7 linked regions of the Callithrix jacchus genome follow. The protein of the gene in region 6 interacts with the protein of the main gene of each other region in a biochemical or structural test. Links are inferred from orthologs where the notes say so. Each region holds a gene or a part of one and is shown on either strand. Other genes may lie near its edges.

What was found.
Region 1: the proteins of RPS6KA1 (region 6) and HTRA1 interact in a test that uses a peptide from one of them, tested with the Homo sapiens proteins (2 studies listed by BioGRID and IntAct, with this or other methods). The link is inferred for Callithrix jacchus from reciprocal best matches to the Homo sapiens genes RPS6KA1 and HTRA1.
Region 2: the proteins of RPS6KA1 (region 6) and GRID2IP interact in a test that uses a peptide from one of them, tested with the Homo sapiens proteins (2 studies listed by BioGRID and IntAct, with this or other methods). The link is inferred for Callithrix jacchus from reciprocal best matches to the Homo sapiens genes RPS6KA1 and GRID2IP.
Region 3: the proteins of RPS6KA1 (region 6) and MAST2 interact in a test that uses a peptide from one of them, tested with the Homo sapiens proteins (2 studies listed by BioGRID and IntAct, with this or other methods). The link is inferred for Callithrix jacchus from reciprocal best matches to the Homo sapiens genes RPS6KA1 and MAST2.
Region 4: the proteins of RPS6KA1 (region 6) and TAMALIN interact in a test that uses a peptide from one of them, tested with the Homo sapiens proteins (2 studies listed by BioGRID and IntAct). The link is inferred for Callithrix jacchus from reciprocal best matches to the Homo sapiens genes RPS6KA1 and TAMALIN.
Region 5: the proteins of RPS6KA1 (region 6) and PDZRN3 interact in a test that uses a peptide from one of them, tested with the Homo sapiens proteins (2 studies listed by BioGRID and IntAct, with this or other methods). The link is inferred for Callithrix jacchus from reciprocal best matches to the Homo sapiens genes RPS6KA1 and PDZRN3.
Region 7: the proteins of RPS6KA1 (region 6) and ARHGEF11 interact in a test that uses a peptide from one of them, tested with the Homo sapiens proteins (2 studies listed by BioGRID and IntAct). The link is inferred for Callithrix jacchus from reciprocal best matches to the Homo sapiens genes RPS6KA1 and ARHGEF11.

The regions. Positions count from the first base shown.
Region 1 is NC_133513.1:115,866,431-115,870,778, reverse strand, and holds the start of HTRA1 (serine protease HTRA1), read right to left. Parts: upstream 2,999-4,348; 5' UTR 2,941-2,998; coding exon 2,457-2,940; intron 2,099-2,456; exon of another isoform or gene 1,693-2,098; intron 1-1,692. UniProt on the Homo sapiens protein: Serine protease with a variety of targets, including extracellular matrix proteins such as fibronectin. HTRA1-generated fibronectin fragments further induce synovial cells to up-regulate MMP1 and MMP3 production.
Region 2 is NC_133503.1:16,248,741-16,253,102, forward strand, and holds the start of GRID2IP (delphilin), read right to left. Parts: upstream 2,860-4,362; 5' UTR 2,738-2,859; coding exon 2,703-2,737; intron 1-2,702.
Region 3 is NC_133508.1:82,798,728-82,802,483, reverse strand, and holds part of MAST2 (microtubule-associated serine/threonine-protein kinase 2), read right to left. Parts: intron 3,351-3,756; coding exon 3,218-3,350; intron 2,298-3,217; coding exon 2,132-2,297; intron 1,632-2,131; coding exon 1,530-1,631; intron 1,257-1,529; coding exon 1,134-1,256; intron 963-1,133; coding exon 853-962; intron 489-852; coding exon 334-488; intron 92-333; coding exon 1-91. UniProt on the Homo sapiens protein: Appears to link the dystrophin/utrophin network with microtubule filaments via the syntrophins. Phosphorylation of DMD or UTRN may modulate their affinities for associated proteins. Functions in a multi-protein complex in spermatid maturation.
Region 4 is NC_133510.1:67,464,092-67,467,217, forward strand, and holds the end of TAMALIN (protein TAMALIN), read right to left. Parts: intron 2,654-3,126; coding exon 2,560-2,653; intron 2,462-2,559; coding exon 2,395-2,461; intron 2,199-2,394; coding exon 2,132-2,198; intron 1,695-2,131; coding exon 1,189-1,694; 3' UTR 504-1,188; downstream 1-503. UniProt on the Homo sapiens protein: Plays a role in intracellular trafficking and contributes to the macromolecular organization of group 1 metabotropic glutamate receptors (mGluRs) at synapses.
Region 5 is NC_133516.1:55,155,744-55,159,499, forward strand, and holds part of PDZRN3 (E3 ubiquitin-protein ligase PDZRN3), read right to left. Parts: intron 2,095-3,756; coding exon 1,996-2,094; intron 887-1,995; coding exon 824-886; intron 1-823. UniProt on the Homo sapiens protein: E3 ubiquitin-protein ligase. Plays an important role in regulating the surface level of MUSK on myotubes. Mediates the ubiquitination of MUSK, promoting its endocytosis and lysosomal degradation. Might contribute to terminal myogenic differentiation.
Region 6 is NC_133508.1:63,192,470-63,196,838, forward strand, and holds the start of RPS6KA1 (ribosomal protein S6 kinase alpha-1), read left to right. Parts: upstream 1-1,344; 5' UTR 1,345-1,400; coding exon 1,401-1,535; intron 1,536-2,351; coding exon 2,352-2,468; intron 2,469-3,234; coding exon 3,235-3,316; intron 3,317-4,369. UniProt on the Homo sapiens protein: Serine/threonine-protein kinase that acts downstream of ERK (MAPK1/ERK2 and MAPK3/ERK1) signaling and mediates mitogenic and stress-induced activation of the transcription factors CREB1, ETV1/ER81 and NR4A1/NUR77, regulates translation through RPS6 and EIF4B phosphorylation, and mediates cellular proliferation, survival, and differentiation by modulating mTOR signaling and repressing pro-apoptotic function of BAD and DAPK1.
Region 7 is NC_133519.1:17,439,398-17,443,920, forward strand, and holds the start of ARHGEF11 (rho guanine nucleotide exchange factor 11), read right to left. Parts: upstream 2,884-4,523; 5' UTR 2,664-2,883; coding exon 2,632-2,663; intron 1-2,631. UniProt on the Homo sapiens protein: May play a role in the regulation of RhoA GTPase by guanine nucleotide-binding alpha-12 (GNA12) and alpha-13 (GNA13). Acts as guanine nucleotide exchange factor (GEF) for RhoA GTPase and may act as GTPase-activating protein (GAP) for GNA12 and GNA13.

The sequences.
Region 1 (4,348 bases), on a different chromosome or scaffold from region 6:
CTGTGTATCGCAAGCCCCTCCTGTTTGTCTTCATTCATTCATTTATTCATTCACTCATCCATTCATACCAACTGCCTCTGATGTGCCAGACAGACAAACATGCAAACAGTGTCAGACACCCTACAGAGCTCAATAAATATTTGCAAAAGAAGGAGGGAGGGATAAACACAGCATTGTACCCACTCTGTCTCTCCCTCCTTTCAAGGCCACCATGCTCATCCTTCTGCGCCCGTCCCCTCACCGGTACAGTGGGGGCCGGCTGTGAGCCTGATGGCCAGTGGAGACCTGTTTCCCTCCACACAGGGACTCAGCCAACTCCAAAGCTTGTGAAGCAACTTCCCTCACTAGCAATAAATTAGGCTGCTCGCACGGTGCCAGCAACACAGGACCCCGTGCAACGAGACCACAAACAGCGAGACCAGTAACAGCTGGCTTGTTTTGGACAAAAACATGCTTTTTCAATGTTGTCGCCTCACACCCAGAGTATTGCAGTAGTCTAAACTCTCCACCCTGGATGCATTCCGTACTCCACCGCTAGGTCAGCCCTACACTAGGCTTTGAGTGGCCCCAGTTCAAGAACATCTGTGCACAGGGCACAGGGCACACAGCCAGCCTCTTCAGCCATGGACTCTGAGCCACCAGCCTAGCTCACTCCTGCTGCCCTCCCCAAATGTCCCCCAGTCACACTGATCTATTCACCTCCAAACAAGTTTTTGGCTTTGCATATGCTGTTCCCAGCTTTGAGCGAAATGCGCATCCAGCCCACTAGGAAATTTACAGCACCTGACCCCTCTCCCACAGCCTTGGAGTTAAGTGCTGGGCTGACTCCTCTGAATGAGGCTGTCTGGCTTTAAATTCCAGCTGAGTGACCTTGGGCAAGTTTTTCAATCTCAGTGCTGCTATCTGTAAAACAGGGATGAGAAGCTGGGTGTGGTGGCATCCGCCTGTAGTCCCAGCCACTTGGGAGGCTTAAGCAGGAGGATCATTGAGTCTAGGTGTCAGAGGCCGCAGTGAGCCATGATCACACCACTACACTCCTGCTTGGGTGACAGAGAGAGACCCTGTCTCTTAAGAGAGAGAGAGAGAGAAGAAACTCCCTCCTCATAAGACCAAATAAGGTCACAGAGGTAACACACCTGGCACACAGACTGGGTGCTCACTAGGTGTGTGCTAGCATCATGCCCATTCTCGGGTCTCCTGGATCATTTATCTGCGGGACAGCTCTCTACTGCCTAACTAGACTGAGTTTCCTGAGGGCTGTGCTCCTGTGTTGGTGAAATACACAATCATCAATTTCACCCAATTTGGCTCTGGCACCTTCCCGTCCATGTAAGCCAAGCTATGCCAAGCCCCCGTTGGTCATACTGAACGATATTCCCATAAAGAAAAACCTAGACCAGGGCACAGGGCACTCTGCTCTCCTATGCCTCGCTCCTGGCACTGCTCATGTTGATGAGGCAGCGCTGGGGTCGGGCAGCAGCTGCGTGGCTGCGGCCAAGCGCACTGCCAAGCCCCCTTGTCCGGTTCCTGCACCGCGGCACTGGCCGCCACTGAACTCGATATTGTTTTTCCAAGTGGCCTCTGCCTGAAGATGAGGAGCATCTCTCTGCAAGGTCCCGCGAGAGAGTTAAACCTTTCTCCACTCCACTCCTTCCCCCATCACCACCATCTCTCCCGCCAGGACAGATCCTTGTGAGTGCCAGGAGGGAGAGAAGGGTTGACGTCTTTCCCATCACTAACCCGGTCCCTTCTCCGCCTCTGCAGATTTTGTGATCCAACGCCCGATTCAGCTTATTCAAAAGGAGCCACTTTCATTTTTGTAGGGCTGGCTCAAAACGAGGAAAGTAAGACAGGCAGCAAACGCTGCTGAAACGAGCGCGGTGCCAAACCAGTCCCTTCCGGGGGTAGATTTTCTGGGGGAAACCGCGGGGCAGGCCGGCAAACACTGTTCTTCTCCAAAACGGTTACATACAGTTTTCAAGAAGAGGTCCCATGATAAAAAGTAATGCATGGTTCATTTTAAAGGGGACGGAGGAAGCAAACAGAAGAAAAAGCAACAGAAATGACTGAAGCCGCTCTGCAAGGCGCCAGTTCCCAGGTCTGAACTTCTCTCCTCCCTTTATGTTCCTATCCCTCTTATTTGTCCTAGGTCCCCCGCGCTGTGACTGCCCTCAGGGCACCCCGCAGCCGGTCACCAGGCGTCTGGAGCCCCAGAGTGCAGGCCGAGCGCACCGGCATCGTCCGGGCGCGGAACCGGTCCCGGGGTGGGCTCAAAGTTTGGTTTCGAGGCAGCCCGCGGCAAGCTGTCCCCCCGGGGCCCACCTGCCTGTCCCCGAGAGTTGCCCTGGCCACCCCGCAACGCTTCGATGCCCCTCTGCCTGCCCGCCGGTACCGCAGAAGCAAGTCCGGGCTGCGATGGAGAGAGTGGGGAGCTGCCCAGGCGCGCGGCGTAGTACCTTGGCCGCAGGCGCCGCGCTGCAGGACGATGACCGGCGGCTGGCGCAGCCTCTCGGAGCGGCGGCTGGCTGCGCGCAGCTGGCACAGGTTGGCGTAGGTGTTGGCGTCGTTGCCGCACACCGGCTCGCTGCTGGCGCACACGCAGAGGCCGGCCTGCGAGCGTCGCCGCACCGTGGCCGAGGCCGGCACCCCGAAGGGCACCACGCACTGCAGCCCCTCGCCGCACGGGCCCTCCTGCAGGCCGCATGCGGCGCCCTCAGGCGCGCCGCACACCTCGCAGCAGCCACATGCGTCCCGGACCCGGCCGCCCTCGCAGTGCTCCGGAGGCTGCGGGCAGCGCGCCGGCTCGCAGCGCTCGGGGCACCCGGCGGCAGTTCCGGGGGCTAAAGGCGCCGAGCGGCCGGCCCGGGACAGCTGCGCCGATGTGGGCGCCACCAGCAGCAGCAGCAGCAGCGGGAGGAGCGCGGCGCGCGGGGTCTGCATGGCGACTCTGGTGGCGGCGGACAGGGCGAGGACAGGAGAGCGGCGCCGGGGAGAGTGCGGGCGGGCCTCTGGGGCAGCGGGTGCGAGTGCGCGCGGCCGCGCGGCCCAGCCCATTGGCCTCGCAGCGGTGACGAGCCGCCTTGGGGACGGGCACCGCGCCCAGGAGGGGGGCCAGCCGGATGGCGGGAGGGCGGGCGGCTGGACCGGGACGGCCCGCGGCGGGGGCAGGGCGGGCGCATCCGGGCACGGCGGAGCTCGCGGGGCGCGGGCGGGGCAGCGCCCAGACCCGCCCTCTCGCGGGACTCAGTTTCCCCCTCTGCGCGCCCCATCTATTCGCCTTCCGCGGGTTCTCTCGCCGCGATTCGCGTCCTTAAAACTAAAGGAACTTTGCTAGAGGGTCCTGTGGCGGCTCCGCGCGGGAGAGTCGGGGAAAGTTCCTGCGAATCGCCCGGTTGGGGGCCCTCCGGGAGGCTCGAACTGGGCGGGGCAGGGACTGCTGGGGCCGCTGCGCAGACCCGGGGCGTTGGCGGCACCGCGGACCCCGCTCAAGGGCTGGGCCTGCCTCCGGTACCCCGCACGCGGAACCCTGACGCGGGGCTTGTGCAACGGTATGAAGGCGGCGTCTGTGTCGCCGACAGAAAGCCCGCGCCCGACCCACAGTGAAGTGAGAAAAGCAGAGAGCCGAAGTGATTCGAATGGAATCCTTCACGCGTCTGATTCTTTTACAAAGTTGTTGTGGGTGGGACGCGTGTCCGTACACGCAGAGAGCTCAGGAAGTGGCTGGGAAGCTTGTAACTGGCGGGGGTAGGGCAGACTCCGATGGGAAAGGGGCTTTCTACTGTTTGAGTTTTTCACCCCGTGCGTAATTATTTTAAAACACTTTTGTTATCAAAAATGTGATTTCTCACTGGAGAATCTTTGGTCATCCTTTGGGACAGATGCGAGTCTGAGAGTCATTGGGAGGGCCGAGGGCGACCCTGGAGGTGGGTCTGGGTGTCCAGGCAGCGCCAGGCCTGTGGGCACAGTAGTCCTGGGTCCACACACAGCAAATGGGTACAGCTTGTATCCGAAGACCTGAGAGGAGGCGGTTCGCCCAGCCCTCACCCGCAAGCCTCAAATCTCCACCCCGACCCTGGGCAGAGGCACCCAGGGCCGAGTGGGCCGGCAGAGCTAACCTTGGGATACAGTAGCATGGGAGGGGGCTGGAGGCTTGGGAAGTTTAATATTCTTCTGTATTTGGGTTGTTCTCTTGTACACATGTTACTTTTCCAATAAAAACAGTTTACAAAGTAACCTCCAAATACTTATAAGCCCTCTCAAAGCACCTTCCAAATATGAGCCTTGTTAATGTTCAAGGTCCAGAGGAGTCCTGCAGCAAGGCCCAGCAGCCTAGGGCATGGGAAAAGCT
Region 2 (4,362 bases), on a different chromosome or scaffold from region 6:
CGCACCCAGCATTTTTTTCTTTTTCTTTTTCTTTTGTAGAGCTGAGGCTCTATGTTGCCCAGGCTGGTAGCAAACCCCTGGCCTCAAGCGATCCTCCCACCTCCACTTCTCAAAGTGCTGGGATTACAGGCGTGAGCTACAACACCCAGCCTTGGTGGCTTTCTGAGGGTTTGGTCTGTAGTTCAATCATGAGCCACCGTGATTGGCCAGGGCTCGGCACACCAGAGAGGCTTGGTAAACAGGCAGTCTGCCAGCAGCCTACCCGCATCTCTGAGTAATGGCAGCAGTTAACGTCCTGATGGACTCTCTGGTCTGTGGCAGAGGATTCTGAGGCACAGAGAGGACCCGTAGCTCTCCTCGGTTACACAGTTGGCCTGTGGCACAGTTGGCATTGGAGCCCAGCCTTCAGAGCCTCAGCACTGTGGCAGGACCTCTAACAAGAGCCCCTGAAGGTCCAGTTGCCTGTGAGGTCTCCCTGGCTGCATCCCAAAGCTCCCTTCCCTGTTCCTTGTACCAAATGCCATGGCCAAGGGCAAGATGATGGAGAGAAGGGAGAAGGGATCAGTGGCCTTGCAGTCAGCTGAAATACAAACCCCTCTGAGGTGTCCCAGTGGCCCCCACACTTCCCTCCACCTCTGTGGATAGGAGTAATTATGCCAGGCGGGCAAAATAAGTTGCCTGGTGGGAGGAAGTGGGCATGGATTCTCAAGGAGGAGGCTCTGTCCCCACAGTGAGCTCTGCTCCAGGTCTGGATCATCTGGATGACCAGAAGGCCAGGATGAATATCCTGCTCACCTTTGCCCGGTGCCCATTCCCACCCACCTGCAATGCTTTCTGCAAACCTGGAAACTTAGCCTCATCCCCTAAGATGGTCACTCAAAGTCTCCGGAGCCTGACCCCTCCATCTGCCTGGCTTCCACATTCCCCACTGCCTCCCAGACCTCAACCCTCACGTTGAGGCAAAGGAAAAAGGACACACCCACTTGAGACTGTCCACCTCACTTCTGACTCCAGTAACAGACTCTGAAGAAGATATCACTCCATGCACCCAACCCCTGGGTCCAACCTGGGCAGGGGTCAAGAGGACATCACAGCTCTACCTTCCAGCAGCAGTTAGAAAAGACCCTATCATCCAGGCGAGGTGGCTCAAGCCTGTAATCCCAGCATTTTGGGAAGCTGAGGCAGGCAGATTACCTAAAGTCAGGAGTTTAAGACCAGCCTGGCCAACGTGGTGAAACTCTGTCTCTACTAAAAATACAAAACTTAGCCGGGCATGGTGGCATATGCCTGTAATCCCAGCTACTCAGGAGGCTGAAGCATGGGAATTGCCCGAACCCAGAAGACAAACCCCTCTCAGTGAGCTGAGATTGAGTCACTGCACTCCAGCCTGGGCAACAGAGTGAGACTCAGTTTTGGAAAAAAAAAAAAAAAGAAAAAGCCCTGCCCTCCCAGGTGGGAACCAGGCTGTCACCAACTGTACAGAGGAAAGAAGGTTGAGCAGCCCTTTCCTTACTTGGTGTTTTTAGGGGTGAGACAGAAGTCAAGGCTGCCTGGTAAGCCAGACATCCAACCTAGCTCCTATGGGCCTTCCATGCAGCTCAGTCTGGCCCAGGGTCTCCAGCCCTGGGTCTGCCCTAAATCGACTGACCCAGCAGGGCCAGGAACAGTGGGGCCACAGCAACTATTGTCGCCAGTCACTATCCCTTTGACTGGCAGTCCAGCAATCATTGTCCTGGGACTCTATGCCAACAGGCCTCTCTGAGGCCACAGGCCTCTCTGGGGGCCACACAATGACCTTGCACTCAGGGTCAGTTCTGTTCTTTCTGCCAGGGTCAGGTCTTAATCCAACCCCAAGTTCGTACTAGGGACTACCCCCACCCACCCCACCCCCATCCATTCCCTGTCCCAACCCAGCTTTCTCTCTCTCTCTCTTTTTTTTTTTTTAAGACAGACTCTTTGCCACCCAGGATGGAGTGCAGGGGCACAATCTTGGCTCACTGCAACCTCTGCCTCCCAGGTTCAAGTGATTCTTCTGCTGCAGCCTCCTGAGTATCTGGAGCTACAGGCATGCACCACCATACACGGCTGTTTTTTGTATTTTTAGTAGAGATGGGGTTTCACCATGTTGGTCAGGCTGGTCTCAAACTCCTGACCTCAGGAGATTCACCCCCCTCGGCCTCCCAAAGTGCTGAGATTACAGGCGTGAGCCACTGTGCCCGGGTCCCCACCCAGCTTTCTCTTGATCAGCCAGTGAACTGGTGGCAAGGGGCAAGGTGCCCTGGTTCAGCATAGGGAGCACAGCAGTGGAGAGGTCGTGCCCCCCAAACTCAGGACGAGATGCCCATATTTTCACAAGAGCACCCAACCTCAGTCTCGGCCCTCTGTCATGTCCCCTCGACCAGCCCAGGTGTAGGAAGGAAACTGGTCTTTCAATATCAGCCTTTTGCCCCGACACCAACTCTTTAGGGCTGCGCACGGGTTCTGAGCGCCCAACGCTTAGACCTCGCTGCCCCGGTACCCACCCAGGTTATTTCCAACCTCCTTGGGCCCCGGGCTCCGCCCAGGCTCGGATGTTGCCCACCCAGAGCAGGGAAGCCCCTCCGCGCTCCAGCCCAGCCCCTTCAGACCAGCCCGAAGCGGATCCACGGCGCACAGGGCGCACGGTTCCCGGAGGCGCGGGACGGACGTGACGGGGAAGCTACCGAAAGTGCCGAGAGAAGCCCTGGTCCTTCCCCATCTGGAGCCGGGGACCGCGACGCGGCAGGTGCCGAAGGGCAAGCGGGTATCCAAGCCCGGGAGATGAGCGAGCGCGCCGCGACTCCACGCACCTCTGCCCCGCGAACGCGCGCGACCCCTCCCGAACGGTCCGGGCCCGCAACCCCGCTCCCGCCCCCTCTTGGTGGCCCCGCCCCCTCCCGGGAGCCCCGCCTCTCCCCCGTAGAGGCAGGCCCTCTACTCACCCCCTCCCCACTTTGGTCACTCTGGGGTGCAGGGGAAACCGGGGGAAGTTTGAGGCCGCCGCGCTCACTCCCCTTGGCTCTCTCCATTATTCCTTCCCCAGGATCCTCCCCTGTGTCCTCTCCAGCCACTGCGTCCCGGACCCCCGCACAGTGGCGAGTCCCTGCAGTTTAGAAGCCCCGATGGCTTTTGGTAGAGCATGCGAGGTTTTCCGGAGGGGATGGCCTTTGCGTTAGGCCTCCAGGGCTCAGCAGGAGTCGGCCAGCTAGTAGAAGCCCTCTCTACCTACCCGGGGTAGGGATGGGGTTGGGGAAGGGACGCTGTGGCCGAGAAGAGGCTGGAAAGGGAGGCTTTGAATGTCGTGGTCAGCAGCTGAGACCCGACTCTGGGAGCAGGAGGGAGCCTTAGGAGGGTTTCAGGGTTCAAGAAGAGGTGGAAGGACTCCAAAGGTTTTGGCACACCAGGAGAGGGGTGATGCTAGGAGGGGACGCAGAAAAGGGTGTTGGGTTGGGACAAGAAGCCGGATTTCAAAACACAGAGGAGGTAGAGTGCCTGAGGCCTGGGGAGTTAGTGCCAGCGAGGTCAAGGTGCCCAGGCTGGGGCAACCCCCAGGTGAGTGCGGAGGGGGTGAGTAGACGGCCTCCCAGAGCTGCAGGTCCTGCCCAGCCAGCAGAGAAGAGGGGAGGAGCATTAAAGGGGGTGGATAGGGAGGCGACAGGAAGGGAGGTCTGGACTCTTCCCTGGGGGCTCTGGGCCTGCAATCCCCTGCAGGGCAGCAGGAGGGGACCCCAGAGTGCCTGCTTGCATTGTCATGTCTCCAGGAGTCCTGATTGCCACAGGAGAGGCCCAGAGTTAGGTCTGAGGAACAAATGATACAGTCTGAGTAACCAGTTCAAGGCACATCCTGGGGAGTGGCTCTTCAGAGGTACCCCCGACCAGGAACATCAGCATGAGGCCCTCTCCAAAGACAGGCTGGAACAGCAGAGGCAGGATGCCCCCAGACTTTCCCTCTGTCCCACTCAAAGGAACAACTACCATGGTGCAGACAGTGGGTACCTGCGGGCAGCACAGAGAGGACCCTGTGGATCTGATCATTGGTCTCTGGTACTGTCCATACACTGCTCCTCAACACACCGCAGCCCCCACCCCCCCGGCCGCCCCTGCAAGACCATCACCTTGCTGTGACCTCCCAGAGCTGTGTTTCTCCCTGGAAGCAGCCAGGAAATAGAGCCAGTGCTCACTCATGCCATGCCCTCCCCAAGCCCTGTCCTCAGCCCTGCCAGGGAGAGAAGCAGCTGACAAGCCTCCCAGCCCGCACAGCTCCCTGATGTCTGTGGGGCCCCAGCCATCCCGTTATGATTGGAGCCATTCCTGGTTGTACTGTGCCAGCTGCAGTGGCCCAGA
Region 3 (3,756 bases), about 20 Mb from region 6:
GAGGCCTGAGCAGCGGCGTCGCACTGTCATTGGAGGGCTTGAGTCACTCTCTGTGTGGGATGACTCAGACGCCGACAGCCGCTTCCGTAATCTATGAGACACAAGGCCTGGGGTGAGATGGCCCATGTGGTCCCCCTCCTGCCACCAGGCCTCCTTTGGGGCACACAAGGGTTATAGTAATGGAACTTTCCTCTGCAGACATTCCTCCAGGAGCCACCCTATGAATGCCCCTCACTGCTACCTGCACTCTTCCCCAGCATCAGAATCTCTCTCAATATCTGTGACAATGAAGGGATAGCTGTCGCCCACCCTGGGTGAGCTCTGTGTGCTCACATCTCAGGGGAGCCAATCACCCAGCCCCGGTCTCGGCCTTTGAGCACCGCCAGGCCTTCTGAGCGGTCCTCCTTCTCCTCACTCAGGCTGCGCTTGGTCGGGGGTGGTGTCTGACGCTCTTCGAGTAGCGAGAGCCGTTCCATGCTGCTGTATACCTGTGGGGACAGGGGATGCACTGGGGATGGGCTCTGGTATCCGTACCTCCCAAGTGGCAAAAGGCATCCTTGGCATTGGAAACCCAGGAATTTGAGCCAGTCGGCTCCTTTCCTCCTCCACACATCCCTGCTGAATATTTGGGGAAGCAGTTATTCCACTGATCTGACCTGGCATCTCATGTCAGGGGCTGCAGTCGTTCCAGAAGCATCTATATATAGCTATATGGAGCCCCAGTCCTCTGCTCCTCTTTTTCTAGAGGTGGCCCCATCCCCATTCCTTGAGCCTGCCCCAAGAGTGCCCTTTGACAGGCCCTCTTCTGATCCTCCAGCCTGTTCTGCCCATTCTGGGTCTCCTCAGTCACACCTTGCTGAACCTTGGAGAGCAGGAGGAAAACTGGCGGATCTCAAGGCAGCCATCCTCACTCACATCTTCCTCATCTTCTGAGTCCACGTGGTGGTAGCGCTCTGAGCGAGCTGGGACAGACATAAAGGACACTTCAGAGTCCTGCTGGTGGCCTCCTTGTGACTCCATTAGATTTCAGCAGAGCCCTGAGAAGTTGCTCCCAATGCCAAGTTCAGTGTGCACAGATATTTCTAGGCAAATGGGTAGCACCCATACTCTACCCCACCAATTGGCGGCCTTACTGTCAAAATAGCTAGTATCGTCCTCTGACTCCAGCTGAGGAATAAATTCAGCCTTCTGGCGGAGAAGTCCTGTCCAGTCCAGATCAGTAAAGAATGGGTGCTCCTTCACCTCAGAGGCACCTCCTGTGGACGGGGAGGGCATGGGCAAGGGGGTAGGATGAGCTGCATGGAGTACAGGTCAGCATACCTAGTAAGAAGCCAGACCTTGAGAAGCTCTGGCTTGACCTAGGTGGTCAGCTCAAGCGTCTCCCCTTCTCTGCCTACAGGGAGCAGGGCAGAGTTTCAGGATCCAGATGGGCTGCCCATAACTGAAGCCCAAACCTTTAGGGTTTGGAACCTCCAGCCTCCCTTACCTCTTTTCCAAGTAGTGAGAAAAGTTAGCGGGGCGTGTCCTACCTGTGCCCAGTCTCTCCAGAGGGTTCTGGTGGAGGAGTTTGGAGGTGAGGTCCTGGGTGTCTGGGGGCAGTGCATCATCACCCTCAGGCCACACAATCTCATCTGAAGTCATCAGGGGTGAGAGGGAAAGGAGAAATTGTGGGGAGAGTGGAGAGATGTAGAAGAGGGTCCCAGGACAGTGTGAGGAAAGGAGGTAAAAAGGGCACAGCCTAGAGCCCCCAAAGCCTTGCCTGAGACCCCAGTCCTTAAATTCTATAGGTTCCTAGACCATGGCTTGATCTTTGATCCAAAGTGGGCACTGCAAAACAGTGATTTCCCCTCTCCTGAAGCTCCAGCTCACCCTGCTTCTATACTCCTCACACTCATGGGATGTGCACAAACAGAACACACAGGTATAGAGGGGAGATATGTGAAGCCCCAAGGACACAGCATGCACGTGTATGTACAGACAGAAACACAGACACATCCACCCCCAAAGCAGCAGACATCAGACACACACCATGAGTTCAGAACAAGAGCTCACAGGCCTCACAAGCTGCTGGAAGACATCTTATTTGTGGATCTACACTGTTTCCCCACTGGGCCAGGGGGAGAGTACCTACCACTGATCACCTGCCCAAAGAGCTCCTCCGGAGTATCTCCAAAAAAAGGGACACAGCCCACCAGGAACTCATACAGGATAATGCCCATGGCCCACCAGTCCACTGGTTTCCCATAGCCCTGGCGCAGGATCACCTCAGGTGCAATGTATTCCGGGGTCCCGCATACCTGGGCACAGAAAGGCCAGGCTGGCTTAGCCTCCTGAGGCTGCTCACTGGCATGACAGCTGGAGAGGGGGGATGCTCCCACCTCTGAAACAGAAGAGTCTCTGAATGAAGACTCAGCCCACCTTAGTTAATGAGTAAGATCAACAGGAGCCCCAGGGAATAAGAGTTGGAACTGTTGGCTGGTATTTCCTAATTAACAAAAAAAGTCTCATTCTAGCCTGGAACTACCATCCCTTAAGCCCTCAACACCCCCCTCCGGCATCTGATCCCACAATTGGCCTCTGCACTCCAGCCTCTAAAAGAACAGATCCTGCGAGTCACATAACTACTACAGGGACTGGTGAAGTCACAACCTGAAATCTTAAACCAGGGAACATCCAGAGGCTGCCTCTCAGGACACTGGGCCATAGCCCAGTGGAAATTCAGAGCTCTGTTCCAAGAACCACAAGCTCCAGGAGAGCCTTGTCCTTGACTCAGGCTGGGAGATTTGGGACTGATCTCATATGAAACTCTGTGCTAACAGTTACTGACCTATTTTCTCCAAACCCTGAGGAGGAAGATGACTTTGGATTTTATATCCATATGATTCTTATGGCTCATCCTGTTTTTCAAATGTGCTACCTATATCAATGCCTCTCTGGAACCCAAAGGTAGAAAAGATAGGGGTTCCCCAATCTTAACCTCTAGCTACAAGGTAGGCATATGGCCCCAAGGCCTTCTTCTAGGGCCTTGAATGTATGTATATGTATACAAATGTAGAGATGAGGTCTCACTATGTTGCCCAGGTCTGATTTTGAATTCCTGGCCTCAAGTGATCCTCCTGCCTCAGCCTCCCAAAGGGCTGGGATTATGGGCGTGAGCCACTGCGCTAGGCCAAGGGCCTAGAATTTAACCCCCAATATATCAACTACCCTTCCTTACCTGCTTGTCCAGGAATTCCCGGGCATCCTTTTCAATATGACCCTCATATAAGTTCGTTGTCAGACTCATGAGGCCAATTTTGGACAATCCAAAGTCAGTGAGCTTGATGTGCCCCATGGATGTAATTAGGAGGCTGGGAGACCAGAGACACAAAATTATGAAGTTATTCCTGGTTTTCCGAGAGTACCGATTTTAGCATATGCCCAATGTCCCCACTCAGGCTTCCATGGGGGTACTGTGAGACAGCTTCAGCAGGGGGACAGGCAGGTGTGAAAAGTAAATTACTCTGGCTATGTGTTACATTCTACACAAGCAACAAACCTGCCTTTTGCCCATTCCCACAACTCCATTTCTATTTATTGCCCTAACTATATTCTATATTGGGGGTAGGAATCGTTCAGTTGAGGAATAGTTTCTTCTACAGAACTGAGCTCAGCCTCATCCTAAGGCAGCTTCTATAGCCATTCCTAGTCCCCTCTCCCAATCTGAGTGGCCCATAATACTCCTGTTTCAGGGAGAGGGGCAGGGGGCACATAATT
Region 4 (3,126 bases), on a different chromosome or scaffold from region 6:
CCGAGATTGAGCCACTGCACTCCAGCCTGGGTGACAGAGGGAGACTCCCATCTCGAAAAACAACAAAAAACTCATCCTGGGAGTATTGGAAACCGCAGAAGAGTTCTGGAACAACAGAGTAATCTGTGATGGGCCCATCACAGGCCAGGTGGATACAGCTCAGGTCCCCACAGATCTGGCTTGAGCCCCTCAAGGGAGTCCTCAGAGGCTGGGAAGAAAGGCATGCCAAGCACCCGTATTTCTATAGGGATGGTTAAGTACTTGAGGCAAGCCTTGGCCACCACCTGCTGTGGGTATTGGGGAGGGAGGCTCAAGTTCTGAAGTGTGGGGCCTCCAGCTCAGGCCTGTACATGTAAATTTAAATCTCCCAGACTATTTCCCTGGCTTCAGGCTGTAAGAAAATAACATGTGCGTTTGTGTTGGGGGTGGGTGGTTGGGATGGTGGAGTCAGAGCTTGCCCCAGCCCAATCCTCCCCCTGAGGCAGTCACCACACTGACACAGATGAAAAACCATCCATTTTATACAGTTTGTGGTTCAGAAGCAACAATATGCAGAACGGTGGAACAGTCTGTGCTGTCCCCACCCCACCTGAACTTGCCGGTTCCTGTCCCCAAGGGACACAGAACACAGACCCCCTGCCCAGCAGGACCCGACTTAGTTACAAGCCCCTGGGAGAGGCCAAGCCCTTAGGGGTCGAGGCCAGGACGCAGGAGGCCCAGCACCTGATGCCCCTGGGGGCCCACGGGGTCAGGGAACCTTGTGTGTGGAGGGTGGGGGGTCAGCCCACCATGGGCCATTTCTCCCCAAGGCTAAGGGCGGGGGAGCAAGTAAAGCTGAGGAGAGGGCTTCGTGGGACAGGGTTCCCACCCCTGCTGGGTGGGTGTTCCAGGATACCCCACAAGGCACTACAGATGAGACTGTAGGCAAGCACCCCATCTTTGGCCCCCGATTGCCTGGGTCTCCCCCTGCCCCAGCTCCCACTGTGGCTTAGCGAAAGAGAAGAGAAGGGCCTGAGCCCCCCACTCCCTCAGCAGACATCAGCCAGGAACCGACCAGGAGGGGCGGGGCTCGCAAGGACCCTCTCCCGCTGCTCTGGGCTCCTGGGGTCCTTTTAGCCCGGCCTCCCCCTCTTTCAGCGCTGACTGTTGCGAATAAATAAATAAATACCTCTCTGCCCGCCCCCGCCCCTACAGCTGGCTCTCCTCCTCCTCCAGGGAGCGGTTGAGTCCGGGGATGAACTTGAGCAGCCGCCGGCGGAAACTGCGGTACTTGGTTTTGCGCAGGCCGGGTCCGCACAGGGCCTGCTCGCGGGCCTCAGTCCAGAGCGCGCCCGGCGCGCCCCCGCCTCCGCCCCCGCAGGGGCCCGCGCACCGCACACTGGCGCTGCGGCTCAGCGCGGCCCGCGCTCCGGGGCCCGGCCCCACAGCAGGGGTATCGGCGGGGCCCGGGCCCAGGGCGCGAGCCGGGGGCGGCGGAGGCGGCAGCGCTGGCGGCTCGGAGTCCCCAAAAAAGCACGTGTGGTAGACGGCGTCGTCAGTGTCGCCCCTGGTCCGCCGAGCGCCTCCGCGGGGACGCCCGGGCACGGCGAGCAGAGGCCCGAAGGGCAGCGAGCCCGGGAGCAAGCCCGCGCCATACAGGCAGGAGCGCACCGACTCCAGCGTGTCGTAGATGCTGGGGTCCTTCACCACCAGGCCTGCGCGGAGACGGGGGAGGCGGTGGGGGGCGGGTCAGGCCTAGGCGGTGGTGTCCTCCGCAAAGGCTCGGAGGCATCCCCACTCCGTCCTGCTGACCCTCTGTGTGGCCCTGGCCAGGCACAGACCTGAGCCCCTACTTCCCTCACCCGCAAATCAGGAATGATCACTCAGATCCTTATGGGCGTCGCTTAGCACACAAGACCCTCGGAAAGAATTGACACAGACTCTTTGAGCCCTGGTGATCCCCTCTGTGAAGTGAAGATGACACTATCTGTTACTTACCTGCAGAGGGCTAGTGTGAGAATAACCAGAAACGTGGGTACGGCAGTATCCAAAGTAGTAGCTCAACGAACCCTGCTTTACTTTAGAGGTTTGCTAGTAAACCTTTCTTTACTAGAGCCCACCAGAGCTGAGGAGGAAGCGCAGACCTACTCACCATGCACCAGCCGCTGCTCCTGCACCATTAGGGACCTGTACTCTCCCCACTTCTCATACAGGGTTTGCTGCAAGAGACAACCACCACCCTACTGTCACGAACTAGCAGGAAACCAGCAGGACATAGGTACAGATAAGGGATCAGGGAGTAGACAGAAGAAACCTTCGGTTAAAGGAGATTCGGATATAAATGACCACCCCACAGGGTAGGCGCTTGGGAAGAGGAGGGTGGAGGTTAGACGTTATCTGAGCTCGTTCCCCTACCTTCAGGTACTGCAGACGAGCCTCCAGTTCCGCCTTCCGAATTGACGTTCCGTACAGAGTTTCCAATCTGATATTGGGGAATCAAAGGTCGAGTGAGCCACAGGCTGAGGAAATATCAAGAGGCTGAGCTCAGGAGTCCGCAGGCACTGCAGCTCCCAGACATACCTGAGAACGTTGCCTGACGCTTTAATGATGTCCACAATCTCTCGATGCCGGATGCCTTCCACGTTCAGGCCATTGACACTGGCAATGGTGTCCCCTGCCAGGTGGACATAGGGGTTAGATTTGCTCCAGGGGGCATGCTAGAATTCCAGCCTCTAACCTTAGCCAGAAAGGGGAGAGGGCGGGTAGTAACTCCAAGGAATACTCCTGAACTCCCGCCTCCAAATTCTCATGGTTCTAGGTGGCCCTCCTCTGACATCTCTCATACCCGATCCAAACACACAGAACCACAGCCATTCTTCTGGGCCTGTAGTGACCACCAGCTTGTCCAGGCCCAGCACCCCAGCCAAAGGACAGGGACCTCACACACCCAGCACCTTCACTCCACCCTTGAGAAGCTCTGTCCCAAAGCTAAGCCCACCCAGGACCCTGGGCTGTCCTCAGAGTTGGTTATTTCGGTCCAGTCCACGCTGGCCATGAGACCCAGTCAAAATTCAGGGAGGGGCAGGTGGGCAGCACCTCGATAGGAACTGACCCTGGCCCCAGGCATGGCAGAGCCTCATGGAACCA
Region 5 (3,756 bases), on a different chromosome or scaffold from region 6:
ACCCTGAAGACCTTGATCCTTCAGGTGTGAAGGTTTGGGTCACTTTCCTAGGGTAAGTGATCCTGAGCAGCACAGGTTCTGGCAGAAGACGAGAGAAACCCAGAGCGGGCAATGGGAGAAGGAAATAAAAATGACTCATAGTGAGATATGAAATGAGAAAAACAGTGACTTAGGAATGAGAGGATACAGATCAGAAAACATAGAAAGCTAAGCCTTGCGGAGACAGTGAAGCCAAGAATCTCAATTCGGAGAGATTAAAGAAGATTGTAGCCAAAAAGAGATATGAATGGTCTCATTTGGACTAGATGGAACAACAGGGCTTGAGGTCAAGTAATTACCCTTAGAAGCATTTCCAGTATTAGATGTTGAATCAGAAAATATAAGACTTTTCAATCGATTCTGCTAAATTTGCCAAAAATGTTCCCATTTTATGGACGAGACCCTGAAACACTTGGTCCAAAGTTAATCTTTCAGAGAAATCTAAAATGAGAATTATTTTAGTTCACAAGTTGTAAACTGTTGGTCTGATTTGTTTTGATCCAAACAGAAGGAAAGAAAATGAGGTGAACTGGCTTAAATTCTGCAAGGCTGTCTTTTGAGAGAACGTGCCCCATCTAGTTTGTCTCAGTCCTTACCACTCCCTATTGCGTCTTAGGACTCAGAGTTAGCCTCACAATTAGCTTAACTTGTCTGGCCTCACTACACATCTGCGTTTGTGATCCCTGTTCTTTAACCTCTCCTGCATTTTCAACCTTAGACCTATCATTAGAACCAGTTTGTTCTTCAGGCACATTATGAGGTCACCGTTTGGAGGTGGACTTACCTGGATAATGCGGTCTCCTTCTCGGATGCGCCCATCCTTGGCTGCAATGCTGTTAGGGTCAATCTGAAACACACATGGACCATCTCAGCACAAACCCAGACATGCATGAAAATAAGCAAGAGCAATTTCCAAAGCCATCTCTAACACACAGTCATGCTCATCCCTGTGTGTGTTTTACACAGAAATAAACAAGACTTAGTGTCTTGTAAGGAGAGGCAAATATGAGCTGATCTGCTTCTAAGCCCTTTGTAGGGCCAGTTCTTGCATCCCTGCATAGCAACCCTGTTACACAGCAGAGGGTGCAGGCTCTGCCAATCTGAGGGGGCTGAGGGGACACAGCTGACCTTTTTTATATGCATGATTATTAAAATCAAATCAATCATAACCCTTCATTATGTTAACTAGCAACCATACCTTATTTTATACAAAATACTTGTATTAAAATTTGGAAAATAACTTTAAAAATATAATTGAGACAAGGGGGACTGGTAAGGGGAAGGATGCCCCCAGATGCAGAAAGGCTGGGCTAACAGCTTAAGCTTGATGGATAACATACAGCCAACCAAAAAGATAATTATTAAGTCTAGTAGTTCATCCTGTAGCGACATTTTATTTCCTGACAAAATTGGGTTTCTGTGCTTGCAAGGATGGGTGTGTACAGTAAAGTTTCCATACTAAAATCAGTTGCTTTGTATTATCTTCTTAAGGAAAATCAACACAGTGTGCATCTATGTAGTTTGATAAGTACATAAAAATCACATTTAACTTAAATGAACTCAACTATATATACTTCACCAGGAGAAAAAAAAAAGTGAGAGAGAGAGACTTGAAAAAGTGTAAGTGATTCTATCCACCATTCCACTCCATGAACATGAGTTGGGAAATGTGAATCTGCCATTCCCTCAGGGCTAAACACACAAAATCATGTAAATGGCTCCATTTTATGGCTGATTTGCAGGCTTCTCAAGGGTAATTTTGCTCTAAGTACTGACATTAGGACTTAACCTCCGTGGAAAGATGCAACGCCATGGAGTGTGATGAGGGGGACAGAATAATTTGTCTGTGTCTTTCCCAAGAGTTCTTGATGAGGTAGGTTAGGGTTGGTGAACATAGGGAAAAAAACCCTTTTGGTGTTGATATGATAGTTACAAGAACAAAATCAGCCTTTGTACCTCACTGATATAAATCCCAATGTCATCTTCGTCATCCGTCCGGTAGCACACAGTGAGGCCCAGCTTGTCCTGGCTGTTCATTCTGTAGAGGTCCACTTCCTAGGCAAAGAAAGGCATTCCCAGTGAGACTCCAGCAGGCAATGCGAGTGAGGGGATGTCAAATGCTTTGAAAATATTTTCTTTAAATGATGAACTGGATTTCTTTGCATTCAGCTGTGTAGGGCCGCTTAACTTACTAAACAAAAAGTGATTATGGACACAGGATCAATGCCTAGGGCATTTCTGACCTTTCAGTCAATATAAAGTCATTTTGAAAATAGTTATTTCATTGATCCCCCAAAGAAAAATTACCCATATTTCACTCAGCATCAAGACTTCTGGGGCAGCGCTTTTCAAAAGCACTTTTTCAATGTCTGCCACAGACAAGAATATTTCCATACCCCAAACCACCCAGCCATTTCAGTACAAATGTTTCCAATGTGTTTGGTTAGATGATTTCACATTGCATTCCCTTAATATTCAGTCATAGAACTTGCAAACAGATTACACATAAACAGATCCAAGAAAGGAGGGTAACGTGATAGTGTGCAATTAATGTTCTCCACAACAGCTGTGATATTTACTGTCAAGAAATTAGTTTCAGCCACTATTACTGCAAATTAAGTAAGATAAAAGCAAAGTGAGCCCAAATGCGGGACACATGCTATTGTATCTGCCAATTGGTGTATGCTTCAGAATGAATTCAGAACTTTGGAAATTGTTGGACATCCTGGGTCTCTCAGTATAACCAGGCTAAGTCACTTCTCACCCACTTTGCCAATGACTTGTGCAACTTTTTGTAGGACTAAGCTGTAGGCCTAGTTGAAGGGCCATGTGGTAAGTTCTCTGGCAGGTCGTTTGGTCTAATTTTTAGTGTTATCTGCTATCAAGCAGGAGAATGGAGGGGCTCTGATACGGGGTCTTCACGCCACTTTTATCTGGGGACTATTTCCAAGTGGCCTCTCTTGAGGGTCTTCTTGGAGGGGAGGGAGGATGCAAATATCTATGTGGAGAAGCTCAAAGCAGTTAAATGGCAGATACTTCTTGAACTCTCCCCGATATGAAAGGCAGGGTGCCTGGCACCATTAACACTTCCCACGTGGAGGAACTGCAGGTGCAAAGGCCGTGGGCCAGCATGGCCAGAGCCCTGTGTACAAGAAGAGAGAAGTGGGCTGAGGGTGGCCAGGTGGCACAGCTAGACCAGGCAGGGCATGTAGGCCAGCATGAGCCACTAAGATTTTATTTCAGCATCATGGGAACCCATGAAAAGGTTTTAAGTGACGACTGCCATGACCTTAATGACTTTCAGTAGTCTCTCTTGGTGATATATGGGGTATTATAATGTGGTGGGGAAGAGTTGGAACTATGAACACAGATGTTCAGATCCCAACTCTCCCTCTTTCTAGCAGCTTGATCATGAGCTGCTTCTTATATCTAAGGCTCTGTATCCTCACTAGTATCTGTCACCTTGCCTCCCAGAGTCACCTATATGAGGCACACAGAGCTCTTAGCACATTGACTGGCCTGCAGAAAGTCCACAGACACTGGTGGTATAATCGTTACACGCAGGTATGGTTACTTGCCTGAAGTCACAAGAAGTTGTTTGTGGCAGAGTGGGTATATTTCAGTGACCCTCTTAAAAAGATTATTTTTTGAACACTGATATGTGAATTAATTCAATAGCTTCCTAATTATAGCTCTAGCAATATGGTAAATTCTCAT
Region 6 (4,369 bases):
GCACTCAGGAGATAGTCCTCTCAGCCGATAGCTGGACCCCCTCAGGTCCTGGCATAGGAGGAAAATCCTAGGGAAACAGACAACCTCAGAGGTGGGTCTCCAAGAAATATCAGACTGCTCTCTTGAGTTTGCAGACTGTGCCCCTTCTTCTCTTTCCCCACCCCAAGTACAGCAGCAAGAACCCACAGTTCCATGCTTAACCCCTCCCTGGGGATCCCTGCCCTGCTGCCTGCCTGCCTGCCTGTGTGTCTGCCGGGCATCAGACCTATCTGTCCTAGGTGTCTGCCAGTCTACTTGGGCCTCACTGACACTGGCTGTTTCTCTTTGCTGCCTACCTGTGTCTGTTGTTGGATTACAATCTCTGTCTCCACTTGATAAGTACCTGCCTTCACCTGTTGGGCACATGTCACATGTTAGGTGCCTGTTGTTCATGTCCCCTTCTGTCTCTACCTGTTGGGTTTATGTCTTCATTTATCTCTGCCATTGGATACATGTCCCCTCTGTCTCTGCCTGTTGGGTACCTGTCCCCTTCTGTCTCTGCCTGTTGGGTTTATGTTCCCTTCTGTCATTGCCTGTTGGGTTCGTGTCCACTTCTGCCTCTGTCTGTTGGGTTCATGTCACCATCTGTTTCTGTGCTGTTGGATACATGGCCCCTTCTGTCATTGCCTGTTGGGTTTACGTCCCCTTCTGTCTTTGCCTGTTGGGTACATGTCCCCATCTGTCTCTGGCTGTTGGGTACATGTCCCTTTCTGTCTCTGCCTGTTGGGTTTGTGCCCCTATCTGCCTACACACATTGGGGATGAGCTTCTGTTCACCTCTGTCTGTTAGATATGAGTCCCTTCCTGCTGCTTCTTGTTGGGTACATGTCTCCATCTGTTTTCTACTGGGTATGAATTTCTCCTGCCTCTGCCTGTTGGATAGGTATCCTTATCCATCCCTGCCTGTTGGGTATGTGTTCCCTCCTGCCCCTGACTATTAGATGCCATTCTTATCTGTTTCCACCTCTTGGGTGCCTGCTTCTGCCTGTTGGGTGTCTCTCTTCGTCTGCCTCCACAAATCAGGCATCTGTCTTTGCCTGTTGGGTACCTATCTGCTGTTGGGTACCTGTCTGCTCAGCAGCTGCATTGGCAGGGGGCTTTCCCCTTGCAGGCCTCTGCAAAGGGAGGATGGGGGAATGGCCAGAGGGCAGCCCTCAGACACTGGGGAGTGGGGAGAGAGGAAGGGAACGTGGTGAGGGTGTAGGCCTGGAGCTGGGAAACCACAGACCCTGAGTGATTGGCTGCCCTGGGCCGGGCCCAGCCCCCGCCCTTACCCTGCACATCCGCCTTGGTCCGGGCCACCTCCGCGGCAGCCCTGGTCGCTGCCTGCTCCTGCCATGGTGCTGTGGCCCTGCTGGGCGGATGGAGCAGGATCCCAAGCCGCCCCGTCTGCGGCTCTGGGCCCTGCTCCCCTGGCTGCCCAGGAAGCACCGGCCCAGGATCAGCCAGACCTCTCTGCCTGTCCCTGGCCTTGGCTCTGGCTCCCAGCAGGACTTGGTGAGTGTGCCCGGATGTCTGGTCCTGGCCTGGCTGTGTCCCTCGCACAGGTGCCTGGGAAGCTAGCTTAATGCAAGTTGGCTTTGGTCTGTCCTGGCCCTGCCAGGGGTGACTGGACCCTGCCCAGACTTGCTTCCTGGGGAGGTGAAGAGGCACTTGAGGGCTTCAAGGTAATACCAGCAGATTGGAGGGAGGTTAGAGTCCTGGAACAGTGAGGCTCTGGCAAGGCACTTCTAATAGGTTTGTAGGAGGGAAGTTTGGGAAGATGAGCCATGCAATCTCCGGCCTTAACTCTGACCTGCCCCAGGCCAGCGCTGACCAAGTCGATGGGGGAGTTTGGGTGACTCTTGGGTCTTTGTGCACCTCAGCCCTGTCCTACTGACCAGAGGGATCCCTCTTCCCATCCTGACCAGGAATGAAGGCCCAGCTCTACCTCCCCATATGAGAACAAACCTACTTCCTATTGTGGCAAAACTAAAACAGCAGGGGGAGGGAAGCCCCACGGGCAGACCTGGGACAGGTCTCTGGGTCTCAGCCAAGTCGGGTTAGCTGAGCCTGGCCATGCCTGGGCATCCCTCTGGGCCATCCAGAGCATCAGGAGCAATAGGAGTGGTACCTTTTCTGGTTTGACCTCACCAACCTTTGAGGCCCTTTTGAAATTGATGTCCCTGGAGGCTAGCCCTTCAGGGAAGTCATCTGTTGGGCCTTTAGGTCCCATCTGCTGCGGTCTGGTGGGAAGGGACTTGGGCAGGGGGGATATGCCTCCTGCTGCCCAGATGGGGCCCACTGTGCCCACCAGCTCTATCCCTCCATCAGGATGAGGGCGTCCTCAAGGAGATCTCCATCACGCACCACGTCAAGGCTGGCTCTGAGAAGGCTGATCCATCCCATTTCGAGCTCCTCAAGGTTCTGGGCCAGGGATCCTTCGGCAAAGTGAGTCATGAGCCCATGGCTGTGAAGGCAACGTTGGTCATGTTGGAGGTGGGGATCAAGGCTCACCTATGGGCCCAAAGTATCAGAGGTCACCTTGGTACCCACGGAGAGCAAAAAGGTCAGCTTGGGGCTCAGAGAAGATACAGGTCATTGGCCAGGCGCAGTGGCTCATGCCTGTAGTCCCAGCACTTTGGGAGGCTGAGGTGGGTGAATCACAAGGTCAGGAGGTCAAGACCATCCTGACCAACATGGTGAAACCCTGTCTCTACTAAAATACAAAAAATTAGCTGGGTGTGGTGGTGGGCACCTGTAGTCCCAGCTACTTGGGAGGCTAAGGCAGGGGAATCACTTGAACCCAGGAGGTGGAGGTTGCAGTGAGCCGAGATTACGCCACTGCACTCCAGCCTGGTGACAGAGCAAGATTCTGTCTTAAAAAAGTAAAGAAAAAAAGAGGCTAGACATGGTGGCTTACGCCTGTAATCACAGCACTTTAGGAGGTTGAGGTGGGCAGATCACCTGAGGTCAGGAGTTCGAGACCAGCCTGACCAGCGTGGAGGAACCCCGTCTCTACTAAACATGCAAAATTAGCTGGGTGTGGTGGCGCATGCCCGTAATCCCAGCTACTTGGGAGGCTGAGGAAGGAGAATCGCTTGAACCTGGGAGGTGGTGGTTGTGGTGAGCTGAGACCACGCCATTGCACTCCAGCCTGGACTCAGCCCTCTCCCATCTCCCATCTTATCCCCTGCTTCCTGCTCTGCCTTCTCAGGTCTTCCTGGTGCGGAAAGTTACCCGGCCTGACAGTGGGCACCTGTATGCCATGAAGGTGCTGAAGAAGGCGACATTGAAAGGTGAGTAGGGACACCTCCCTGTGCAGAACCCAGGCTGGGCTGAGGGAGGCAGCCCACACTTCAGGGACCTTGGTTCTGGCAAGGAAGACAGCTCTGTCTTCAGAGCACCTAGTTCAAAAGCGGAGAGACAGGCCTATGTCTCAGCCATCCCTCCCCACCCAATCCCCTTCCCCTAAGCCAAGTGCCAATGACTGGCTGTGAAGGTCTGGAAGGTAGTAATAGGATAAATGCATGGCTGGGCGCAGTGGCTCACGCCTGTAATCCCAGCACTTTGGGTGGCTGAGGCGGGGGGATCACGAGGTCAGGAGTTTGAGACCAGCCTGGCCAAGACGGTGAAACCCCATCTCTACTAAAAATGCAAAAATTAGCCAGGCATGATGCCTGTAATCCCAGCTTCTCAGGAGGCTGAGGCAGGAGAATCGCTTGAATCTGGGAGGCGGAGACTGCACTCCAGCCTGGGCGACAGAGTGAGACTCTGTCTGAAAAAAAAAAAAAATTGGATAAATGCAATGTGTTTTTCAGGGGAGGGACCCTCAGATACCAAGCTGGTCTGGCAGAGGCGTTCTGACTATTGGCAGGGTTGCTTCATGATGCTAGAAGAGTCTGAGGGAGACCTCTGTGGCCTCTAACTCATGGGCCTGAGAGAACGGCATGAGTAAAGAGGCAGGGAGCCCAGGGAGGCAGCTGGGCAAGGCAAGAGAGGGTGAGTCCAAGCAGGACCACAGTGCTGGATAGCAGAGAGGTTCAGAAGGGAGCCCAAGTCAAGCTTAGAGTTCTGGGGACTCACAAAGGGTGTGAGGATAGTCGGTAGTGGGCTTTGGGTTGGGCACTGACCACCTGGCCTGGGAGCCAGTGTGATCAACGACCCGGTGGAGTCAGAGCCAACTGCCCTTCCTTGACCATCTGCCAAGTCTCCTTTTAATAAAAGTCAAGGCCAGGTGCAGTGGCTCACACCTGTAATCCCAGCTCTTTGGGAAGCCAAGGTGGGCAGATCACGAGGTCAGGAGATTGAGACCATCCTGGCCAACATGGTGAAACCCCATCTCTACTAAA
Region 7 (4,523 bases), on a different chromosome or scaffold from region 6:
GCTAGGCACGCAGAATATAACACAAGCAAACCAAACTGTCCCTGCTTGCATGGAGCTTACAGTCTGGTGTTGCTTAATGTGGTCTTCAGGAGTCTTACATCTTTCTAAGTCCCCCAGTTGCATGCTTTTTCTGTGGGCAAGAACTGTCACCTTAATTTTCTAAAACTCTCTTATAGCACCTTACACTAGGTTCTCTACACAGCAAACTGATAAACTGAAAGAATACTAGACTCCATTATCTGCAGCATTTTATTCCTTTCAGTGTGATTTAAGACTGTAAATTATTTAAAATCCATAGAGTCTTGAGCCTGATGTCCAAAGTTCTGATCGAATAGGCCTACAGCTAAGGGGGGAGGATTCAGTGCATCTAGCTGGGGATGTCTGAAGGGGACCTGAGTCCCAGCACTCAGGTATCTGGGGATAGCTGAAGGGAATCTGAGTCTTAGCACTCACTCTTAACAGGAAAGAGGATCAGGCAGGGTGAAGGTGAGGAATACCCTTACCCTGCAAAGCTGCACTATCTCATAGGAGAAAAGTGTTTTAACTATAGGACTTAGAGGTATAAACCCAAGACTGAACCCCCCAGGTAGGAGCCCCAAGACAGGAAAATGGAAGGGAAGACCTTGACTGCTGATGGGCAATTACCCTACTGCCAAAGAGAAAGAAGAAAACGGTGCTGCACACATTCTACAGGCCCAGTATAGAAGCCCAGTTAGATATGAAGGGTCAATGAAAGAGCCACAGATTCAGACCTGTCTTTGAATCTTTAAGTGCAGATTCTGTCACTAGCCAGGCAAGATGGCACTGGGCAAGCTGGGTATCTGAGCCTCAGTTTTCCCTTCTGTGAAACGTGAACAATAACCTCTGATGTTTCTGTCTACCTCACAGAACCACTGCAAGATCCAAATGAGATTATGTTTTGTGAAAGCACTTAGGAAACTGTAATGTGCTGGGCAAATCCTGAGATTTTTATCTATGAGGATATCCAAATTCCCAGAGGAGTGTCTCACATCAATCCAGGAACCCTCACTGCCTCCTCCTTCTTGCACCCCTAAAACTTGGGTTTCCATCTTCTCAAATCCCTGAATTTACCAGAAAGAGTTCAGCATTCAAATCTTAAAAAGGCCAAGTACACTAATTCTCAAATTCCAAGAGGATGAAAAGGGAAGAAGGGCAGCCATATAAACCGTTCCAACTCCTCACCTTGACGTGCCTCAGTTCTCCCTTTCCAAGGGTCAAACTGCAGAGAGGCCCAACAGAAAGGGGGAGGGAGGTCTGAACTGGCCATATATCCTTGTGCCTGCCTGCTTCCTCTTCTGCACTGCCAAGTCAGTTCCCATCTAGGGACTGCTGAACTAATCTAAATGGGACTCTGAGGCAATGCAGAGATTAGTGCTTGGGAAAGAGAGATTATATGCATTTTAGGCCACATTCCACAGCCAAAAGGAAATTAATAGCATGGATAACCGAAGATGGACTGGGCATGAAGGGAGCAATTGCATCCTTGCAAATATTCTTCATTATCTCTCCAATAATATTTTTTCCAGGCCCAGTCCTTTCATTTGCTTATTCAGTCCTTCAACCACCCATCTATCCAGTTAGGATGTGTGCAGTGCCCACAAAACACCCCCCACCACCACCACCCCGCAAGATTCTTATGGGGAGAAGGGTTGAGGAGGGGTAGGGGAGGGAAGGAAAAGACAAGCAGCTTGCAAAGTTGTACCAATCATTTGGAGGAAAGAATTGCAACCACACTGGAGGAAAGAATTGCAACCACACTGTAACACTACCAGTGATAGAGGTGGCTGGGCAGACTCTTGGGGGAAGGGGCATCATGTGCTCAGACTCTGAGGGCAGTGCTGCTGCCCAGCAGGCCTACGAGCCCAAAACAACTCCTTCCGGCTCGAGCCAGAGGGAAGGCCCATTTTGCAGAGTCAAGCTTATTAAGAATGGCTTGGAAGATTAAACCTAGAGCATCAGTTGGTTGGCAGGTCTCAATTTAAACTCTAAGCTCAGAGGAGAGGAAATTCTAATGTGACCTATGCATTTTGGGGCCATGTCAGCTACTGGTAAAAATCCAGACCTGTATGGGTGCAAAGGATGTTTCTGTCCCATCATTCAGGCCAAGAACATCCTCTTCATTTCTAGAAATGAGATCTACCCCATCGCCAAGCCCCAACATTCCATAACAACCAGCCTGGTGAAGACCCACGACCCTCCCAGGACCCTTCTCCCAGCAGCTCCAACACTTAAAGCCAGTCCCCCTAGGGGCTCACAAGACACGTTTGCACCCACCTGAGGCTGGCAAGTTGGGGGGGACTCAAATTCAGCCTCCATCCTGGCAAAAGTCATAAACCACTGGAAACATTTCTCACTCCTTCCCCTCTCCTGGCTTCACTGTTTATAGCTTATACTCAAAAGACGCGGAATCAAAAGCTGTGTTTTGAACACAGACACACAGAGAGCACATAACCACACAGGCTGACAGTCTCCAGAGACGAATGCTCCTAGCCCACCAGTGCCCACAGCCCACCCAGACCCTCATTTTCAACCATTCATTAAAATGCAACACCCTCTCTCCCAGTCTTTCCTTTAGTCAATGTCGAAAAATCAAATTATCAGCAAACCTACCTGTCTATACTCTGGGGTAACCTTACACTCATGGTTTCTCGGTGTCTCCACGGTTCCAGAATCCTGCAGCTTTGGTGTCTTGATCACGACTGAATCGCTTGCAGTTTTTAAGCAAGGTGAGAGGAGGGTCTCCCAACTTGAAGATTGAATCCTTTCTCCTCCAGCTCTCAGGACCCTGGTAACTGATGCTCCACTCTACTTCTACGAGCGAGCATGATTTCCTTTCTCAGCCCCTCTTCCCCTCCCCCACTTAAAAAAAAAAAAAAAAGAAAGGAAAAAGAGGAAAAACTATGACCTTCTCAGAAACCAAAAACCCAGCCACAAATCTCTTCAAGGTTAGCACTATGGGCTAAAAAATGAATCACAGAAAAATGTGCCTTCAAAATATCACTGTTAACTGCAAAGTACAGATAACACCATCCTTTAAATCCAGTTTTCTCAGCTGTCCTTCTGTGGGCAAGAGACCCTTTAGCTCAAAGGGTGAAAAATATTTTTCCAGTCTCCAATGCTTAATGTGACAACAGCAAATATATTTCAGAAAAGGAAAAAAAAAAGGATTAATAAATCCGAAATGGCACTCGGAAAAAAACCTTTCAGCTGATTTGCACAGTAAAAAAAAATAAATAAAACCATACAATAGTATGTACACGACAGCACTCCTTCCAAGTCCAATGCAACCCTGGGAACCAAAATTTATGGACTTAAAAAAAAAAAAAAAAGCTTTTACATTAAATGTTTTGAAATTCTTAAACGAGCCAATTGCACCAAAAAAAAAAAAAAAAAAAAATCAAAGAACACCTGAAATGCAATGCTTTTTACCTTAAGATGGTAGCAATGATCACAAACCAGAGACAATCTCTGAAAATATTCTCTCCCTTTCTTTTTCCTTTAAACTTGCAGGTTCCTCCACCTACCCCAGACTGATTCTCAGACCCAGCCTACGTTCGGCCTTTTTCTGAAAGACAATTTCCTGAGTTAGTTCTGCTGTTGGGCTCCTCCACATCCAGGCTCCGAAATTTTCTCTTGCCTCAGCCTCCATGAAACGGAGATTTCGCTTCCTCCCGTTCCCCCTTCTCTCTCCCTCTCTCTCGCTCGGCCAGAAAGACGGCTCCCTTATTATTCGTTCGGATTATGATTGCGGATTTGAGTTCGGGGTGGGTTTTTCTTCCACACCAGCCTCCTGGAAAATCCGATCGCCTGCCTCCCCTCGGCCTCTCCTTGCCTCCCTTTCCGCCCCTCGCCTAATCTCGCAGACAGGAGCCCGCCGTGCCTCGCGCAGGACGCCCGGCCGGGCCTCCGGCTCCCGGCGCCGCTCGCCCCGCGCCCGACCGCCGTGTTCCGGCCTTCGCCGCCGCTCGGGACGCCGGGCTCGGAGCACAGGGAAGGCGGCGGCGGCTGCGGCAGGCCGGCACGAGCGGGCGTCAGACTGCCGGCGTCGCGGCCGTGCTCGCCTCCTTCCGGGCCCCTTCCCCCTCGGCTCGCCGCTCGCTCGGGCTCAGGCCCGGCCGGCCGCCCCTTTCACTCCCTCCTCCTTCCCTGCGAGCCTTTCTCCTTCCCTCGCTCCGGCGGGGCGGGGCCGCAGGCTCCTCCTTCTCGCCGCGCTGCCCGCAGCCCGCCGGCCTTTCCCCTCACGCCGCGGCGGCCGGGGGCGGGGGCGGGAAGCTAACCGCCCTCGCCGGCCTCGGTTCCCGCGGCAGCGACTCCCGCCGACTGGCCCGCCCCTGTCCCGGCCTTCCTGCGCGCCCTGCCCCCCGCGACCTCTCGCCGAAGCGCCTCGGCCGGTCCTCTCTGCGGCCCCTCAGTCGCCGGCCCTGCCCCTCGGCGCGGCCTAGCGGGTCCCCGGCCCGGCTCGGCCCGCGGGCGACCCCGGCCCTGACCCCGCCAGGCACTGC